5 linked regions of the Canis lupus familiaris genome follow. The protein of the gene in region 3 interacts with the protein of the main gene of each other region in a biochemical or structural test. Links are inferred from orthologs where the notes say so. Each region holds a gene or a part of one and is shown on either strand. Other genes may lie near its edges.

Region 1 (4,309 bases), on a different chromosome or scaffold from region 3:
GAGTGTTCACAGCAGTTTTAGCCACAACTGTAAAAAACCCAAACCAAACGGAATGTCCTAGAGTGGATGATGATGGGTAAGTGAACTGCGGCAAATCTATACATACAACAGAATATCATTCAGTGATAAGAGAAATGAGCTTTTAAGCTGGAAAAAAGAAAGACATGGAGCCACCTGAAATGACTATTGCTAAGTGAAAGAAGATGTTTTTAAAAGGCTACACATTGTAAATAATAATAATAATAATAATAATAATAATAGGCTACACATTGTCCAGTTTCAACTATACGACATCCTGGGGAAAAAGTTAAAACGAGACAGCAAGGAAAATCAGTGGTTTCTGGGCGGGCGCGGGTGGGTGGGAGGGCAGGGAGAAGGAAGCATACAGGGATGGAACACAGGGAATTTTTATGGCCGTGGGGGCTGTTCTGTAGGTCACTGTAATGGTGGGCCCGTGACCTTACACCTTCTGCAGGACCCTCGCAACTGCACCCAGGAGCGGAACCCAATCTCAACAGCCCGCTGTAACCCACGATGACCCGGTGGCACGCACCCCCGGAGGCGAGGTGTCGGCCAGAGGGGGGACCGTCAGGGGGTGCGGGGGGTGGCGGCTCCCCGTGAAACCCAGCTCGATCTTGGGGCACCGGAAACTGCTCTTAAAAACCAACTCAAAAAAAAAAAAAACCCAAAAAACAAACCCAACTCAATCGCTAAAAAAGAAAAGAAACAACAACAACAAACAAAAACACCCCCGACTTTAAATCCAGAAGACACAACGGTGGTTGCCAGGGAAGAAGGGGGGGGGATGGGCGAAAGGCGATGGAGAGGACCCTTATCCTGATGAACACCGAGCAACCCACAGAATCACTGAAATCATACACCTAAAACTAATCTTTGGGGAAAGGAAGAAAAAAAGAATGTATTACAAAAAGGCGGGGGCGCGGAAGGGGCGGCATCTCTGAGGAAAACCTGCAGGGCTCTCGATTTTTTTCCCCCCCACGGGCTCCTACATCTCAAGAGGGAGCGCTCGATGATCTCCTAAACGAGCAAAGAGAAGCTAAAGGGCACCCGACCTCCACCTCACGGGCGCCGCGAGAGTCTTTATCAGCCTAACCCGCGACTGTGCAGTCCGAGCATCCTTATTTAACCTACGCAATTCACGTCGTCGTCGTCACACGGCGCTGGGACACACCGTCGTTATTCACATTAAAAAAAAAAAATAAAAAAAAAAAACCGTCCCGAGCGCGGAGCCCAACAAGGTGGCAGATACGAAAACCAGGAGGGCTAACCCGGATTCCAGGCTCAAAGTTCTAAAGCATAAAAGCGAACGGCCGAAAATTAGCGATTTCTAATTCCGTCGGCCGAAAACAATGAACGGCCGATAAATCTCGCGATGCCTATGGAAACTACCACTCCCAGCGTGCACAGCGGCTCCGGGCCATCCGCCTATCCCCTGGAGTCTGGAGGGGCCCCGGCATGCCTCGGGGCGCGAAAGGCAGCCTGGGAGCCGTAGTTCCGCTGGACGCCTACCGGTATTGCCAGCGCGGCAGTGGCGGCTCTCTCGGTTCCGTCCAGCCGGGTTCTGTAAGGCGAGCTGAGGCGGAGAAAAGGGCGCGGAACTGGAAGCGGGTGAGTCAGGCGCTGGCTACGTGATAAAGGGAGGCGGCACTGCGGCATACGGCTGGATTAGGTAAATGGACCCGTGCTGCAGTCTCTCCGGAGACGCCGCGATCTAGCGCCCGCGCGAAGAGGGCGAGGAGGAGCCCGCGCCCGGTCCGTGCACCCGTTCTCGCCCTCGTACCCCGCCGCCATCTCCACCATGCAGTCCCGGGAAGAGGCTCCGCGTTCTCGCCGCCTGGCCAGTCCCCGCGGCGGCAAGCGGCCCAAGAGGATCCACAAGCCCACGGTCTCGGCTTTCTTCACGGGCCCGGAGGAGCTGAAGGACGCGGCTCACTCCGCAGCCCTCCTGGCGCAGCTCAAGTCCTTCTACGACGCGCGGCTGCTGTGCGACGTGACCATCGAGGTGGTGACGCCCGGCAGCGGGCCCGGCACCGGCCGCCTCTTCCCCTGCAACCGGAACGTGCTGGCGGCCGCGTGTCCCTACTTCAAGAGCATGTTCACGGGCGGCATGTACGAGAGCCACCAGGCGAACGTGACCATGCACGACGTGGACGCCGAGTCCTTCGAGGTGCTGGTCGACTACTGCTACACGGGCCGCGTGTCGCTGAGCGAGGCCAACGTGGAGCGCCTCTACGCGGCCTCCGACATGCTGCAGCTCGAGTACGTGCGGGAGGCCTGCGCCTCCTTCCTGGCCCGCCGCCTCGACCTGGCCAACTGCACCGCCATCTTCAAGTTCGCCGACGCCTTCGGCCACCGCAAGCTGCGATCCCAGGCCCAGTCCTTCATAGCCCACAATTTCAAGCAGCTCAGCCAGATGGGTTCGATTCGGGAAGAGACTCTGGCGGATCTGACCCTCGCCCAGCTGCTGTCCATCCTGCGCCTGGATAGTCTGAACATAGAGCTGGAGCAGACCGTGTGTCATGTGGCCGTGCAGTGGCTGGAGGCGGCTCCCAAGGAGCGCGGACCCAGCGCTGCGGAAGTCTTCAAGTGTGTCCGCTGGACACACTTCACTGATGAAAATAAAGATTACCTGGAGGGGCTGCTGACCAACACCATTGTGAAAAAGTACTGTCTGGACCTTATCGAGGGGGCCCTGCAGATGCGCTATGGTGACAAGCTGTGCAAGGCTCTGGCGCCCAAGCCAGAGACCAGCAGTGGCAGCTGTGGCGGCGGCAGCAGCAGCAGCGGTGGCAGTGGCGGCGGCAGCGGCAGCGGCGGCAGCGGCGGCAGCGGTGGTAGTGGGGGCAGTGGGGTTGGCAGCGGCACCAGCAGCAGCAGCAGCAGCAGCTCCTCTGTTGTACCCATAGCTGAAAACCCACCCCAGAGGCTGGGCGTGTGTGCTAAGAAGATGGTGATCTTCTTTGGACATCCTAGAGATCCCTTTCTGTGCTGTGACCCATACACCGGCGATATTTACAAAGTGCCCTCGCCTCTGACCTGCCTTGCTCACACCAGGACTGTCACCACCTTAGCTGTCTGCGTCTCTCCAGACCACGACATCTACCTGGCCGCGCAGCCCAGGAAGGACCTCTGGGTGTACAAGCCAGCCCAGAATAGTTGGCAGCAGCTGGCCGACCGCCTGCTGTGCCGGGAGGGCATGGATGTGGCCTACCTCAATGGCTACATCTACATTTTGGGTGGGCGAGACCCCATTACCGGTGTTAAGTTAAAGGAGGTGGAGTGCTACAGTGTCCAGAGAAACCAGTGGGCACTGGTGGCTCCGCTACCCCATTCCTTTATATCCTTTGATCTAATGGTCATCCAGAACTATCTTTATGCCCTCAACAGTAAGCGCATGTTCTGCTATGATCCGAGCCACAATATGTGGCTCAAGTGTGTTTCCCTCAAGCGCAATGACTTTCAGGAAGCCTGTGTCTTCAATGATGAGATCTACTGTATCTGCGACATCCCCGTCATGAAGGTCTACAACCCAGTCAGGGGGGAATGGAGGCAGATTAACAATATTCCCCTGGTGTCGGAGACCAACAACTACCGGATAATCAATCACGGCCAAAAACTGTTGCTGATCACCTCTCGCACCCCACAGTGGAAGAAGAACCGGGTGACCGTGTATGAATATGACACTAGGGGAGACCAGTGGATCAACATAGGTACCACCTTAGGCCTCTTCCAGTTTGATTCCAACTTCTTTTGCCTCTCAGCTCGTGTTTATCCTTCCTGCCTTGAACCTGGCCACAGTTTCCTCACTGAGGAAGAAGACGTGCCGAGTGAATCTAGCACCGAATGGGATTTAGGTGGATTCAGTGAGCTGGACTCTGAGTCAGGAAGTTCAAGTTCTTTATCTGATGATGATTTGTGGGTTCAGGTAGCACCTCAGTGAAATGCACAGGATCAGCAGAGTTTGTTGTAGATAGGTTGAAACACTAAGGTGTTTTTACTGCTTTGGAAAGTGTCTTAAAGAGATGCCCTTTCTCTTTGCTGGGAAAAAAACAACAACAACACAGGTTGATTGATTTCAGGTTTGGTTTAGAAAGGGTATTGTTTGAAATACTAACATAATTTAATGTTAGGGAATTTATACACAAAGAAATCAACCTATTTAATAATTTACTGTTCTAAAAGTCCAGTATTGATTTGATTGTTGGGTATGTTTATGTTTGATTATACTAATTTAGTCTTTTGTTATTAAATCTTCTGTTTTGTGCCACAAGTACTGTGACTTGAATTT
Region 2 (4,132 bases), on a different chromosome or scaffold from region 3:
TGAACTATTTTACTTTTTACTTTCCTATGAATGAGCCAGTATATATTTATTACTGGAGTTCCAGCTATAAAATTCAGGTAAGGGGTTTAAATATACCCTAGAGTATTATTTAAAAATAAATTTGTTTCTTTCAAATAGAATACCAAGCTTGGTCTATGACATTTAAGGGAGAAATTAAAATATTAAACTTTTATTACCTAGTAAACTGAAAATAAAGTAAAGGTTAAATAAATACAAAGCAGAAAAAATATATATACAAAATCACAACCTCTAGGAGGACAAATAGTCTACTGTTCTCTACTGTGGGAGCTTTATCAGCAGTAGTAAGTAATTCCACCTCTAGGGCAAGGCTAGTACTCAAAAATGTAAACAAGTATGTACTTTGTTTATACAAAGAAATATGCAGCATGGTTTGTATTTCTTTATAGGTATCAAACAGCTAAATGGATTGTTTCAGCACACCAGTAGGGGCCAGCAAAGAGCTCTTAGAGTTTTCAGAACAGATTTGGCATTGAGATATGTTTATTTGATGTGTTAAATCCTTTTTAGACTTCTTTACTTACCACAACACTCTCTTAAGTGAATGAATTGCAGAGACAGTGGAATAAAATATCTTGTGTGCTCAAACTATATTGGGGTATAGTTTTTCTGTCTAATCTGCATATATTTTTAATGGAATGTTTGCTTAGGCTATTTCTTGGCAGAGTTTTAATAGTCAAAATATAAATGGCATCATTTAAAGACTGTACTACTTGGCTGGAAAAGGCCTTAAAATTACAGAAGAAAATGCTTGGTGACAGCTTCTCTTAAATTTTTCTTTCTCAGACCTATGCTCAATTTTTCAATAGTATTACTAGGCTAATTTTGTGTTTCTATCCTTAAGCTTTCACTTTTTATAAGTAGTGTTTTGGAAGCTAAAATATTTATCTATTTGATTTAATGCTTGAGTTTTAATTCACCCCAGAGTTTTGGTACTTCCAAATTTATACAACTGTTTGAATTCACTCATTAAAAAAAAAATTAACAGAATATATGCCTTTCTACATTAACTAACTTGACAAGATTCCTAGTTTGTCTACTGTTTGGAAATTCAATCCTTGATTTGATACTCAATTACATGGGGTTTCATTCCTACCAACTTCCTGTAATTTTATCCCTATGGGTAAAAATATTAGTGGTCAAACTCTGCTGGAGAAAGTATAGACGCCGTGATTCACATAGTTAAATGTTCATTTAGTAGAGCAGGAGTGAAAAAATACTGTTTCAACTTGAAATGCTAGAAGATTGTTGTTCTTGTGTTACTCATTCATGCAAATTGGAGAAGGTATAATTGAAACAAGGTTGGCAGTGTTTGAGGCAGTGCGCTGCAGCTGAGCTCAGCTTAAAGGGCGCTGGAAATCAAGTGCTTTGTAAGTGAAGGCATTTTGACTACAAGCGATTCAAAATATTTGGAAACGTCAGTCTCAGGAATGGGTCGTCTTTTTCTTTCTATGATATCTGGTATCTAAGGTTTTACTTAGGATAAAGACTACTGCTTAAGAGCTCTTTTAGGCACCACAAATGATTTTTTCCTTCGATGCAGTGCAGCTGCTTCTAGCCTGTCTACCGACAGAGATCTTTGTTATGACTTTCAGCCCTTAACATGTTTGGAAATGAGAACAAATGGCACAAAGCTTACGATTGCACTTTGCAGCCAGAAGAAGCAATACTTATCCTTTGTCAGAAACCTCCGGAGATGATTTGGATAGCAATGTTCACATGTGCTTCAAAAGACCAACACGGATTTCAACGTCTAACGTTGTTCAAATGAAGCTGACTCCTAGACAGACTGCACTAGCTCCGTTGATACAGGAAAACGTTAACTCTCAGGAAAGATCATCTGTTCCTTCACCTGAAAATGTTAATAAAAAGAGCAGCTGTCTGCAGATTTCACTACAACCAACAAGGTACAGTGGATGTCTTCAGTCTGGCAATGTCTTAGCTGATGGTGATGATGCTTCATTTACATCTGTCTTTAAGGATGGCATTTACAACAATGCTGTGGCTGAGAATGAGCTGAATGCTGTGAATGATGGTAACCTTGTAAGCAGTTCGGCCATTCACAGTGGGAGCCTCAGTAACTTTTCCACCAGTGAGAATGGGTCTTACAGCAGCAATGGTAGTGATTATGGATCATGCACAAGTATCACAAGTGGTGGTTCCTACACAAACAGTATCATCAGTGACAGCAGTGGTTATACTTTTCCACCAACTGATGATACTTTTTTTGGTGGAAATTTATCTTCTGACAGCACCTCCAATAGAAGTGTGCCAAACAGGAATACTACTCCATGTGACATTTTTTCAAGAAGTCCAAGTACCGTTCCTTTTGTCCAGGATGACTTGGAGCATGGACTAGAAATTATGAAATTGCCAGTGACCAGGAACTCGAAAATTCCACTAAAACGTTGTTCATCCTTAGTCATTTTTCCTAGGAGTCCTTTAAATACCCCACCGACTTCTCCAACAAGTACAGACGTTCTTCCAAGCAAAGGATCCTATCAAACCTCACACCAATTTATTATTTCTCCTAGTGAAATTGCCCACAGTGAAGATGGTAGTAGCACTAAGGGATTTCTTTCAACAGCTGTCAATGGACTTCGGTTATCTAAAACAATCTGTACTCCCGGAGAAGTGAGAGACATACGACCACTTCACAGGAAGGGTTCATTACAAAAGAAAATTGTTATTGCGAATGATAGTCTGAATCAGAATGTCCGTGAAAAGTCGTCTGAAGGGTTTTCTTGTGTTTCAGTGCATTTCACCCAACAAAAAGCAACTACATTAGATTGTGAAACAGCAAGTGGTGATTGCAAACCAGAGATGTCAGAAATCAAGCTTAATTCTCATTCAGAGTGCATTAAGCTTATGCAGAGGACATCTGCATGTTTACCATCCTCTCAACACCTAGATTACCAAATAAATATCAATGGACAGTTGGAAAGACCAAATTTACAGATAAACAAAAACCATGCTATTTTACAGAGAAGTGTTTCATTGGGAGGAACTTACCCAAATGTTTCCTGTTTATCCAGCCTCAAGCACAATTGTTCTAAGGGGGGACCATCACAATTACTCATAAAATTTGCACCTGGAAATGAAGATAAAGTTGATAACTTATCAAGAGACAGTAACAGAGATTTCACAAATGAACTATCTAATTCTTTAAAGCATTCTTGTAAGGTAAGTTTCCTTTGGTCTTGGTAATTGTTAATTTATACTAGAAAAGCTTTATGAACTATTTGGTTAAAATATATTAGAACTTAGCAAGTGTTTTATAGTCATAATCTTTGTATTTGTAAATCTGAGGAAACTTCAATAGTTTTTCACTCTCTGTTATTTTACTAGTGTCAAAAATATGCATTAAAAAAAAAACTCTCTAAAATGATTTAAACCATGAAACATTTCTGTAGCATGAAAACAAGCTTTAAATAATAATTTATTTCATAATATTTTTACCTTGGTATATTTTTTTCTTCAAGTAATATAGCATTTTAATGTCTAACTCCATATTTTATTCCTACTTTCAAAAATGTTCATTTAGCATTCTCCCCTCCTTAATCAATGTGAAATAGGTAAAATATAGAATACTTATTTAAAATACTAAACAATAAAAAGCCTACATAAAAATGTGAAAATCTTTTCACAAATGAACACAGAGAAAATGTTTCTCTAAAATATGCGTATTTAGTAGAACATTGATAAAAACTATTATGCTGCTGTTTTAAAGCACAGGAAAAATAACTGGCATTTGCATTTGTATATACCCTTAACCACAGGAATTTTGTTTCCACCCAGTTTTCCTTTAGCTACCAGTTAAGATTGCCTTCTAAAATGTAACTTAGTCTTTCAACAGTATTGAATTCTAATTTTATATTTTTTGAATTTGGTTTCAATTGCTAGGCATTTCCCAAATACTCCTAGTTACCTTATTAATTTGTTATTTTGGTAATTTTGTTTATTAGTCATTTAACTCTAATGTATCTTAACCAAAGCAGTTTTTTATATAATTGAGCCTTTCCAAAGCATTTGAATTTAAATAGATTTTCCAAAGTATTTGAACTTAAGTAGATTTTTAAAATTTCTGTATTTG
Region 3 (3,041 bases):
TTAGAGTTGCATTTTCTATTTCTACAGCTATAGGACTGTATTTGGTTCTGCTGAGATTTTCTCTAAAGCTGGCACTTTAAGCGGTGGAGCAGGTGCAGCAGATTTTTTTTTCTTTTCTGGGCCTTCCCCTTCTCATAATCCCTTGTCTTCCCTAATTGCCTTCCTTTTCTAAAACCTTCTTCCTTTATCCAGTTGGCCAGTTCTACTTCTTAATCCGGAAGAGGATCCACCTGAGGCCTGAGGATGCCTTATTCTTCTTTGTCAACAACACCATCCCTCCCACTAGTGCTACCATGGGCCAGCTGTATGAGGTAAGTGTTCTGGTCACGACAATACTGTGTAGTCTCGTGTTCTCTAGCCTTTGTTCTGGAGTCTGTTGATAACACACCTGGGAAGTGGGGCAGGAGGTGTTACTTCCCTGTATCCACTTACACACAGCAGTGTAAGGCTCTGAGAGATTAAATGTCACTTGTCCTTTAGGGATTGAGCTGACTACTAGATTCATTCTCTTTGAGCTTTCAGTTTTGCCTTATTCTAGGGTTCTAATCTTGGATCATCTTTATTGAAACAGTAAGAAATTGTTTCTGATTGCAAATTCCAAATAAAATGAAATTTAAAATTATAAGGCAAAGCCTTTAAATTGATTCATTTGTCTTAACAGATAAACTCAGTTGGAGAGAATAATTTGCTGATTTCATTTGGTTTAATTGGTAAGCTGTCAGAATCTAATGAGAAGACTATTGGAAAGGACTCGGTCATGCTCTGTCACCCAGTTTTGTGGCTATATTCTTCCTTAAAGGATTTTACATTGTACTGCCTTCTTATTGTGCCCTGTGAGTTAGTGAATTGTGTAAACTTTCTAACAATCTCTCAATCTTATTTTTATTCCATAGCATATATTTCCTGTTAGTGTATATTCTGATATATATATATATAGTATATATATAGTATCTGTGTTCCCTTTTGCTAGAATGAGCTTTTTAAAGGGTCATGTTGTTATCCCTGATGTTTGTACGTATCGATACTCTTCTTGAAGATTTTTTGTGAACTCAGAAGTTGAATTCCAGTCACTTCTGTGTATTCTTATTTTTTGGTCAGTGGAGGCTAATGATGCCTTGCAAAACCTGCTTACCTTGTGTGAGGCTCAGAATCCTGAAGGTAATGAGTATGATGTTTCCTCTTGTTTCCTCCCTCAGGACAACCATGAGGAAGACTATTTTCTGTATGTGGCCTACAGTGACGAGAGTGTCTATGGGAAGTGAGTGGTGGAAGCCCAGCAGATGGGAGCACCTGGACTCGGGGGTAGGGGGAGGGGTGTGTGTGGGACTTGGGGAAAGAGAGGGAGGGCTCCCACCGTGGAGGAGACAGAAGGGGAAGACATCTGGAAACACTACACCGCACACACCGTCATCATATTTTCACATGCTCAATTGATAATTTTTGCTGCTTCCTCGGCCCAGGGAGAAAGCATGTCAGGACAGAGGTGTTGGATTGGCTTTGATAGAGGAATGAAGATGATTTAATGTCACAGCATTTCTGTGAATTAATTTCTGTGTGACTTCACAGAAGAGGCAGGAGGTGGGCAAGATGGGGCCAGAGATGATTGCAGACCACCAGTAACTTCCTGCTCTCCTTCCTCTTCGGGCAGAGATTCTATTTTTGACATTTGCAGAAGACAGGTAGGGAAAGGGATGAGGATGTCTTAGGACCACGAGTAGTAGATCATTCCTAGGGACCAAAAGAGACCCATTGTAATTAAAGCGTTGTGACCTTGACCTAGCTCCACACCTCCCCATCCCTGTCATAATTCCACTTACAGACACCACAGCACCACCTAGTGGTCCGGATAGCCATTAGGCAGATATTTAGATGGAGCGTTCTCACCACTGGAATACAGGGGCCAGGCATGAAGGATAGTTTGGCTATTAAGATCGTTTTGGTAGCATTAAACTGGAATTGACTATGTTGAGCATCTCTGTCTAACCTGCTCTCTCTCTGGTGCCCCTTATCCCACACCTCAGTGAGGACAACCATTTCCCATTATGGGCTAAAACCTCCTTCAGCATTTCCCAAACTTTGCTCCATGTGTAGGGACAGAGATGTCCTATGTATGGAAGGGGGGCAGGTATGAGGTAAGACAGCTTGTCTATGCCTCTGCCTCAGCCAGGATTCTTGTTCCCTTGTTCCCGCCTCTTCAGTCCCAGGCACACAGATCTGCTAAGTGATGGCCAGCTGCCTCCTGACTTAGGTTTCCATGTAGTGCAGCTGCTAGTTAGACAAGTGTGAGGGAATGACTTAATACTAAATGGGGATTCTATGGATTCTGATTATTTTCACTTTTGGGGTTATGTGGGTGGGGGCGGGGAGCAGGAATCGCACTCAGACGTGACATTTCAGTTCATCTCTGCTAATGAAAAGGGTCCTTCCTGTGGGAGAAATCTGTGTCCGTTTTGTCAGCTGCAGATTCTTGTGTAATGAAGTTTATGCTGTCAGGCCAAGGAAATAAAATAATTGCATACCTTGAAAACCAACCATGAGTTCAGAAATGTTGCTTTTATTGACTGTACTGTAGAATAGGTGGTGTGTGGACTCTGAGCAGAAAACTGAGTGAGGGTGGCTGTTAGAAATGGATGCTCACGTATGTCAGATGTATAGAGGTTTAAGTAAACCTCTTTACTTACCACGAGTTGTTATTCAAAGGTGAGCGTGGTGGGGTAGCATGCCTGGTGTGTTGGTGATACGTGTGTGATTTTCTGCTCCACAGATAAATGCTTTGTCATTGGTTTGTGTGTTTCTCAAAGCTGAAGATGGAACACTGCCTGGGTGAGACTATAAGGGGTAAGGCGGGGGTGTAGTTATTAAAAATGCAGATGTCTGGGTTTCATCCTACATTTAGCTGAGTCATTCTCAGCGTAGGTGTCTGTGGTGTTAACCAGCTCCTCCTGATTCTGCTGCATGCCGAAGGTGGAGAGGCATTGCTCTCAATACCTGGTTTTGTTTTGAGTGCCAACCAAACCTATTCTGTCTGCCACATTGTGGTT
Region 4 (4,224 bases), on a different chromosome or scaffold from region 3:
AAAAGGGGAGTAGAAGGAGATAAGGCAGTGAGAACCAGGTCCTAGTGCCTGCCTCTACTCCAAACACAGCCTTCCTGCTAAAAAATTTTTTAAACCACTGCCCTAAAGTACCTAGTTGGAAGGCATTGCTGTAAATCAAGTATGACGGTCATAAAACCCAGGTATGGAGTAGTAGTATCAAAAATGAAAAACAGAAAAGAAAATGAATCTAGACTTCTTGATGGAGAATTCAATAGGACTTAGTGACAAACTAGAAAGAATAATGAAAGAATGGATCTGCATAAAAATATCAAATATTCCAACTGAACACACCTGCTGGTCATACAGACTTGAACATCAGCAACATAAATGTGACCATGTAAAAATGTCTGAGCCCTAAGGAAGTGCTCCTATGCAAGGCAGAAAAGCAAAGCAACATTCTTACAGGGATTAGGAAAAGAACAAGCAGAGGGCCCACAGGATCGTACAAAGACATGGCCACCACACCATGGAAGGCTAAAAGAAGTGTTTTTAAAAAGAGGTATCACTGTACACAATGAGAGGGTTCACAGCCTTTGCAGCCAATCAGATTCAGGGTTCTGGCAACTCCTCCACTTGACCAAATTATTTAACCTCTCTGAGTTTCATTTAATAAGGAAAAAATAAACCAACATTTAGCGTCGTTCAACACATTATGGAGCACTGTGCTAAGTGCTTTTACACATGACCTATTCTAATCCCCGTAACACACTTTACAGATGAAGAAATTAAATTTAGAACTAGCGTAATAAGCTGCAGAGCCATGATTCCTCTTTCTTATGACAATAAAATAAAGGAATGCATATACAAATTTCCTGGGGGAAAAAATGACCTCAAAAATGGCATATTTTATTATTAGAAGGTAATAATCAATAGGGAGGACACAAAAACTCACTTTCAGTAATCCCTGTCATAGCCTTCCATGGAGCAAACTCTTTGTGTCCTCAGCTACAAAACAGGATTACTTCCTGTAATCAAACTTACGTAATAGGGTTGCTATGATGATATTATGAAAATGAAAATGCTATGAAAAAAATTTAAGTGACATTCAAATATATGGGCTTAATGTCACATAGCTTGCTTTCCAGAAATGCCTTCCTGGAACAACGAAGTCTGTCTGAAGAGAACTAAAAATGAGCCTGTTGGAGTGCAAGCATCACTTTGTAAAGTATAAATGACCATGAAATGGTTATATATACCACCCACATCTCCCCCTGGCCCTTCTAGGTTTTCTAGAGCCCCTGCAAGGCCAGAGGATCTCTTATACCTATAAAGAAACCGATAATTTACAGCCAATGAATGAATAGAGCTTCTACTTCAATTTGGAGTTGTTCAACTTGACCTTTGGGCATCATCTCAGAGGTGGCCCCCTTACAGTCCTTCCAAAACAGAGAAGAAAAAAAGTTTCCAATTTTCTTCTAAGATACTAAAACTGGGTGCCCAATCAATACGAGAATTCAATACAAAATACCAGACAAAAATCAAGGGCTCTGATAACAAGTCTCTTTTGGACGCCCTTCCACACACCCACCTTTTTTCACCTGAACAGATGGTTTCCAGGCCTCAAGGCTCACATGTCTAGTCACACGATTCACAACAGCTCACAAAGTTCCTACCTTTTTAATTATTCCATGTTCCTGAATATATCACCTTTCGTCTAAAGATCTCTAAGTATCAGAACACAGGAACTCCTTAATCTTCACAACAGCACTCTCTGGGAGAAAGATTAGTACTCTTATTTTATAAATTACAAATGAAAGACTGAGATTACATGTTTTAAACAACACCAGTTAAATGACGTTGATTCATTCTTGGGGGGAAAAAAGATGCACATTATGAATTTATATCTCTGGGCAGCCTTGATTTAGCTTGATCATTTCAAATACTACTTTTAAAAGTATCTACTGTGTACTCTCACTCTTCCAATATATCAAAGATCAAACTAACAGTAAATACCAAAGCATCACTACTTCTATATGCTAGAAAACAAAACAAAGCACTATGCGGGGAAGGGGTTCTAATTTAGGATTCCTACTGTCTCGCATCCATAAATACTTTTGAACTTGAGGGCGGTGAGGAAGGAACACCTGTCAGTGCGGTACACCCTCAAGGTCCACACACTACGTAGCTGTTCCTACGGAATTCCTTCGACGGGAAACAAATAATCCGCCTTCTCAAATAAATGGCAGTATCACGAGAAACACTGGACAAAAGCGCCGAGAAGGCTGCGAGCAGCCTAATGCATGCCCCGTTTCGCGTCCCGGGCTCCGAGACTCGCCGGGAGGAAGAGGCCCAGGAGCGCGGCGGGGAGGCCGGCGCTCCCCAGCCGCTCCCCAGCCGCTCCCCAGCGACTCCCCAGCGACTCCCCACGCCGCCAGGCCCGGCCGCCGCGGCAGACGCCAGGCTCGGCCTCCCCGCGGCGCCCCGGGCCTGGGGGCAGCCGCGGCCCGGCCCCGCCTCGCGACGGCCGACGCGCCCGGCCCGGGCCCCGCCGCCGCGGAGGGGTCGCCGCCAGCTCGGGCCTAGCCGCCCCCGCCCGCGGCCGCCGGCCCCCCCGCCCTCCCTCCGCTCCCGGCTCCCGGCTCCCGGCTCCCGGCTCCCGGCTCCCCGCGAGCGTTACCTCTTGGGCGCTGGCGGCTGCTCCATGGCGGCCGGCGACAGAGGAACGGCCCCGGTGGGCGCTGAAGGACGCAGGGAGGACAGGAGCCGGGCACCGGCCGGCCGAGCCCCCGAGTCCCCGGGGAAAACCTCCAGGAACTCGGACCAACTTTCCCGTAAGTCCGCGGCGGATCCTCCTCCCGCTCGCGAGCGCCGCGGCCTCCGCGCCCCGCCCCTCCCCGCCCCGCCGAGCCCCGCCCAGCCCCGCCCCTCCGCCGAGCCCCGCCCCTCCGCCGCCCGGGGAGAGTGGGCGGAGCCAGCGGCGGCCCAGGCTGGTGGGCGGAGCCGGGCCCTGATGGGGCGGGGGCGGGGGCGGGGGCGGGGGCGGGGCCGAGGCGGAGGCGGAGGCCGAGGCCGAGGCGGAGGCGGAGTCAAGCGCCGGCCCCCGAGCTGCGAGCGGAAAAAGGGCGCGGAGACCCGCGGACCAAGGCCTAGTTAGGACCCGGGGCCTGTCTGTGCTGGCCGGGGGCGGGGGATGCACCTTCCCTGGAGCCGCTGAGAGCTGCCGCTCCGCATCTGCCTCCGAAAATTGGCTTTTGCCCCAATCCTATTTGACTCATTTCTTCTCTGGATTTCCCAAAGACACATCCCAAGCATCTTGTGCAGCCTTTTGAAGTGTCACTAACTGCCCACGCTTCTGTCTCTAGTTGTTTATAATTATGGGCTGTGTTTTACGCCCGCCCGGTTTGACGTTTGTAGCTACAGCACGAGGGATACTACTGGAAATTCTTGTTTGATGTTGATTGTGGACAAACTCCTCACTACATTTCGCTATAATTACGTCTGATTACAAAGAAAATTAGGACTGCGGTGAGATCCCAGTGCACAGATTTCATGCACTGTGGTCTTGCCAGCTGTTCGCTTGGATCACCTGGAAAACCTAAAACAAATTATGGTGCACAGAAAAGAAGTCAAGAAAAGTTTCTCTTCCTTCTTGTCACCTGTCTCCCCCAACCTTTTCCGAAGGCCCTGACCTCATTGTGATTTGATCCCTTCCTGCATCTATCTTTTTAGGATACCATTTAACATGAAGTTCCGTATATAAATATCTTTCTTATGATCATCTAAGGTGCTATGTAATGAGTTTGCTTTCATTAGAAATTATCCAGGTGTAGAGTCATAGAGGTTTCTTGAAGGTTAGAGCAAAGTCTATGAAGAGAATGTTAAATAAAGGAACTTTGTGAATATTAATCCAAATTAGACTTGTCTAATAGTCGTTTTCCTCTTTTTTGCATTGTTTCCATATGTAATAAACTTACATGATTTATTTTTCAAAGCACTATATTCCCCATTAAATTTAGTTATGTTAAATTTAAGACCATTCGTTGTTGAACCCTGAAGTCAGGTTCTGCAAAAAAGAGATTGTTATAAAATTTTATACTCCTTTTCATTTACTAAACATCGACGGACTTATAGTTCAGAACTAACAAGACAGCAAAAAGCTAAATTATTAAAACACAAAAACTAGGAAAAACTTTTGAAATTATGTCATTCTATCCCTCACTTCTCATCCTCACTTCCATGCCCTAGTCCCATCTTCTTCTATTT
Region 5 (4,345 bases), on a different chromosome or scaffold from region 3:
TGTATGTTCTGTGACCAGTCCCCTATAGGGGGTCACTTGGGTCATTTCTAAGGTTCCCCAATGTCCAACAATGTGGCAGGGGACAGCTTCAGGAGCACTCAACAGAGCACAAAAGTGAGAACACCCACAGCACACATCCCCCAGTGGGGCCGCTCCAGTCAGAGGACGCCTGCCTTTGTGGTTTCAACAGATGTTGCCAAATTGCCTCCTTTTGGGGTTGCATGTATTTGTGATCAGTAAACATGAAAGGACTGGGCTGATGAATGGACTGTGTTCTCAAGCGCTGTCATATGGGGCCCTCCCGCAGGGGAGGGACTGCTGCTGGGCGGGAGAGGTCACCAGTTTCTTGACCTTAATCTGGCCCCTCAGCGCCTCTGAGCAAGTTTGTTTCTGCATGCCTTCTGGGGTGGATGGTGGCCCCCAGAGATGTCCTCAGGCCCTGCACCCACTGCACACAGGAGCAAGACAATGGCCAGGTCCCAGGGCCTTGACACAGTCCTGGAAACTCAAATAAGGAAACAGCCCCAGCCTGCACCAGCGTTGACTCCAGAATCCAAAATAGGAAACTATAAAATCACAATAAGTGTGCAAGCAAATGTCTATAAATGGAATATTGCATCAATTTGATGGAGAATTCACAAAAGATTCATCGCATCTGAAAATGGTTTGGAGGTCAGATGGTCTGCCCTCGCCAGGACCTCTGAGTGTGCAGGAGAACTGCTGAGAAATCATTACCAGTCACCAATTGAACTCTCAAAGCCCAATCATAAAAATAATATTTTCCCAAAAGTTCAAAGGAAAAAAGTTATATATATATACACACACACAGGCACACAGTTTATAACGTAAGATGTGACTGTCATTTTATTTTATTTTATTTTATTTTATTTTATTTTATTTTATTTTATTTTATTTTATTTTATTTTATTTTATTTTATTATTTTATTTTATTTTATTTATTTTTTTTTGTGACTGTCATTTTAAAATTATATATATTTGATATGAAGTGAAATGGGACCCCAAAGAGAGCCTTGGACCCACCATGGTCCTAAAACCACAGCAGCCCCACTTGCTCCATAGAGCACCCCGCCTGGGGCTGTGGGCTCCCCACCTGCCCAGAGGAAAGGGAAACCATCCCTCAGGCCAGCGGGCTTCCCTGTGAACTACCTCTCAGTTTTAGCGTCAGGAACAAGTGTTCTCCATAGATTATCTGGCCTCACCAGTCGTTCTGAGTCCCATTTAAAAATGAAAATCTGCAGAATTGTAGGCCATGTGTTCATGAGGCCTGAAGGAGGGACAACCAGGGAGAGGTACATTAAGGCCCAGGGGGAAGACCAGGGGTCAGAGACCGGGTGTTAAAAACCTTGTTCTATTGGAGACTGATGGCCGGGTGGGCCTGGCACACCTGGCCACCTGCACAGGGGGCCCTGACTTTCACTGTCCCCTGCAGCGGGAATATGGCACCCCTAATGTGCACCAAGCACTTCCAGTACACGCTGTTTCCTTTGTCCTCTGTCCCGGCAGGCAAGGTGGTATGACTCTGTCTGTCCTCACTGCCAAGACAGGAAACAGACTCAGGACCAGAGACAGCCTGGCCTGCCTCAGCCAAAGATGGAGTCAGCGGCAGGGCCTCTCCATATGTGTGGGGCATCTGCCCACCTGCTGTTGCTTCGCCCTCACCATCCCCCAGCCGGGAGCACCTTTCCCTGCAAATTCTGTACCTACCTTCAAAATGCAATGGATCAATATTAGTAGCTATTTAGCCGTATATTTAAACTTCAAAATACAAAAGAAACTCCAACAGACTCCAAAGGGGCTCTTGCTGGGCCCTCGTATCCTGCCTGCCTTCGGGGGTCTCCCTCCTAACCAGGGCCTTCCCGCTGTGTGGTTTGCGTCTGCCCGCACCTTCCCTCCATTGAAATGCCTCCATCCCCCAAAAGGGCCTCACAGGGGAGTTGCAGTGCCTGGAGGCCTTGGAGGGGGGGGTGGATTCTGAGGGCAGGGGGCTTGGGGAGGAGCCAAGACAGGCGGGCTGCTGTCCTGGCTGTGGTGCCAGGCCGAGAACCAGGACTGGGACAGAAAGGACCAGGCCTCTGTACCTGCAGCCCGCCCTGTGTCCAGGCCTCCCCCGCTCCCCAGCCTGTATGTCCCCCCAACTCCTGTGTAGTCCTCACCTGCTGGCCCCCAGCCCCTGCCAACCCTCTGCCCTCCATCAGTGCCCTGGGCCCCAGGGCTTAGAGAGTGGCCAGCACTTCAGGTGACCCCACCCCCCCAGGAAGGGGAGCCATAGGCTGTGAGATTTGCCTGCACATTTGGCAGGGAAATGAGGCCTTCGGGAAGCCAGAGTCTGCAAATCCAGGCCAGAGGGGTGCGGTGGGGCTTCTCTCTCTGAAGCCACCATCCCGCCTGCCCAGGCCCTTCTGAGACTCAGCACAGCACCCAATGGAGGTAGAGGCAGGGGTGGTGACAGTCCCTCTCACCCCCCTTACTCGGGCTCCCTCCCATGACCCCATCAGGGCAGGATGGTATGGGAGCACGTGGTAGGGAGGTGGTGGTGGGGCCTCCCTCTGGGGGCTATTCCCTGGCCAATGCAGCCTCTGTTCTGAAGCCAGCCCAGCTCCCCGGTTCCCCCTCTAGCACCACACCCTGAACTCCAAACCACCCCCATCCAGACCAACTTCCTCCACCAAGCTCCGGGGTTAGCAAGGCCCCATCAGGATCCCTGTGTGCTTGACCTCCAGATAATGGGGCAGTCTCTGCTCAGAGACAGGAGGGCTCCCTCTGTGCCATCTGGCCACGGGGCTGCAGCTAGGGCCCCTTCTCTGGTGGGGTGGCAGGGAAGACACACCCTGTGCCCCCCAGTGGTAATGCTTACACTAACTGCGGAGGGCAGGATGGAAGAGTGCCCAAAGGGAAGGGACTGGTCAGCTGTGATGGCTGAAAACCTCAAGAGGCTGGAAACAGAAGAGCCTCACTGGCCCAGCTGGAGAAGGCCCACAGGCCTTACAGCTGGGCTGCAGGCAGGCAGGCAGACCATTGGAGATCAACTGCTGCCCATCCCCTGCAGCCCAGAGAGGGCACAGACACGGCTATCAGGCAGCATATCAGGCAGTGAGGTCTCCTCTCTCTGGACTCCCCCAAGGACTGTGGGCTCCTCCTGCAACAGGATGGCACCTTGGCCAGCTTGTCCTCCTGGAGTCTGTGAGGTGCAGAGACTGCACGTGGCTGGGCCTCCCACCCCATCCCTCTTGAGGGAGACTGGCCGAGGATGAGTCATTGGCTCTGTGTCCCTGGGGCTTGCCCAGGGCTGGCCATGTGGGAGCAAGCTCACTGCCCTAATTTCCCCTTTTGGGTAAACAGCAGCCACTTCCTCCTGGGTCGGCCACTTCCTTCTGGTCACTGGGCTCCACGAGGCTAGAGGGGGCAGGCCCTGTGGCACCAAGCAGACATATCCTAGAAATGGTGGTGGGAGGGTACACAGGCTGCACAACGCTGGCCCCTGACCACAGGACCTGGACATTCAGTCTAAAGGGACTTTGAAAACTGCAAATGTCCACCTGCCATTTGAGAAGGGCTCCAAGGGAGGACCCGGGAGCCAGCAAGTTCCCATGCAGGATAACCCTGGGCAGGGGATCTGGTTGGAAAGGACGGAACCGAAGCTGCATTTCTTCAGCATTTTACATAAATTACAAGACTTGTCCAGAAAGATGGTGGGGGAGGGGCTGCAGAAGCCGAACTAAGGCGCCAGCTCTCAACCCCCGGCACAGGGCCCTCAGGACGGAACGGGGTGTGACACCATGCAGGGTTGTTCCTGGAAAACCAGCCTCCTGGAGTGGGCAGGGCTGGTGGCCTGGGAGAGATCTAGGGGATCATAGGGGGTTGGGGGATCTTGGAGGCTGGGGCCAATTCTAATCAGCTGAATGGAGGGGAGGGACTGTGCTGAGAGGTTGTTGCCACTTTGTCCCGCTCACTGGGGTCTCAGGACCTGTGGCTGTGCAGCGTCCTCAGAGGGCCACACTCTGGGCCTGGCCAGTCTGTGAGATTCTGCAGGCCCAGTGCTTGGCTCTGCAAGTTCTCCAGGGACCTATGAAAGGTCTGTAGCCAAGGACAAGTATACCTGGATTCCAAAACCCGAGAAAAACAGCAAAAGATGATTATGCTCGGGCTCCCAAGAAAAAGAGCAAAATCTAAATCAATAGACATTTAATTAGATGTCTACAAAGTGTAACATTATAATCATCAAAATGTCACTCTTTCGAGGGGCACCTGGTGGGCTTGCTTACTCAGTAGAGTGTGTGACTTTTAATCTTGGAGTTATGAGTTCAAGCCCCACGTTGGATGGCAA

Evidence for each region.
Region 1: the proteins of GABARAPL1 (region 3) and KBTBD6 form a complex in vitro, tested with the Homo sapiens proteins (2 studies listed by BioGRID and IntAct, with this or other methods). The link is inferred for Canis lupus familiaris from reciprocal best matches to the Homo sapiens genes GABARAPL1 and KBTBD6.
Region 2: the proteins of GABARAPL1 (region 3) and NEDD4 form a complex in vitro, tested with the Homo sapiens proteins (2 studies listed by BioGRID and IntAct). The link is inferred for Canis lupus familiaris from reciprocal best matches to the Homo sapiens genes GABARAPL1 and NEDD4.
Region 4: the proteins of GABARAPL1 (region 3) and STK3 form a complex in vitro, tested with the Homo sapiens proteins (2 studies listed by BioGRID and IntAct). The link is inferred for Canis lupus familiaris from reciprocal best matches to the Homo sapiens genes GABARAPL1 and STK3.
Region 5: the proteins of GABARAPL1 (region 3) and TBC1D2B form a complex in vitro, tested with the Homo sapiens proteins (2 studies listed by BioGRID and IntAct). The link is inferred for Canis lupus familiaris from reciprocal best matches to the Homo sapiens genes GABARAPL1 and TBC1D2B.

The regions. Positions count from the first base shown.
Region 1 is NC_049243.1:9,450,712-9,455,020, forward strand, and holds the start of KBTBD6 (kelch repeat and BTB domain-containing protein 6), read left to right. Parts: upstream 1-1,434; 5' UTR 1,435-1,819; coding exon 1,820-3,961; 3' UTR 3,962-4,309. UniProt on the Homo sapiens protein: As part of the CUL3(KBTBD6/7) E3 ubiquitin ligase complex functions as a substrate adapter for the RAC1 guanine exchange factor (GEF) TIAM1, mediating its 'Lys-48' ubiquitination and proteasomal degradation.
Region 2 is NC_049251.1:21,502,981-21,507,112, reverse strand, and holds the start of NEDD4 (E3 ubiquitin-protein ligase NEDD4), read left to right. Parts: upstream 1-1,225; 5' UTR 1,226-1,662; coding exon 1,663-3,222; intron 3,223-4,132. UniProt on the Homo sapiens protein: E3 ubiquitin-protein ligase which accepts ubiquitin from an E2 ubiquitin-conjugating enzyme in the form of a thioester and then directly transfers the ubiquitin to targeted substrates. Specifically ubiquitinates 'Lys-63' in target proteins.
Region 3 is NC_049248.1:10,359,366-10,362,406, forward strand, and holds the end of GABARAPL1 (gamma-aminobutyric acid receptor-associated protein-like 1), read left to right. Parts: intron 1-192; coding exon 193-311; intron 312-1,196; coding exon 1,197-1,262; 3' UTR 1,263-2,531; downstream 2,532-3,041. UniProt on the Homo sapiens protein: Ubiquitin-like modifier that increases cell-surface expression of kappa-type opioid receptor through facilitating anterograde intracellular trafficking of the receptor. Involved in formation of autophagosomal vacuoles.
Region 4 is NC_049234.1:1,024,991-1,029,214, forward strand, and holds the start of STK3 (serine/threonine-protein kinase 3), read right to left. Parts: upstream 2,855-4,224; 5' UTR 2,665-2,854; coding exon 2,639-2,664; intron 1-2,638. UniProt on the Homo sapiens protein: Stress-activated, pro-apoptotic kinase which, following caspase-cleavage, enters the nucleus and induces chromatin condensation followed by internucleosomal DNA fragmentation.
Region 5 is NC_049224.1:58,780,988-58,785,332, reverse strand, and holds the start of TBC1D2B (TBC1 domain family member 2B), read left to right. Parts: upstream 1-1,457; coding exon 1,458-1,524; intron 1,525-4,345. UniProt on the Homo sapiens protein: GTPase-activating protein that plays a role in the early steps of endocytosis.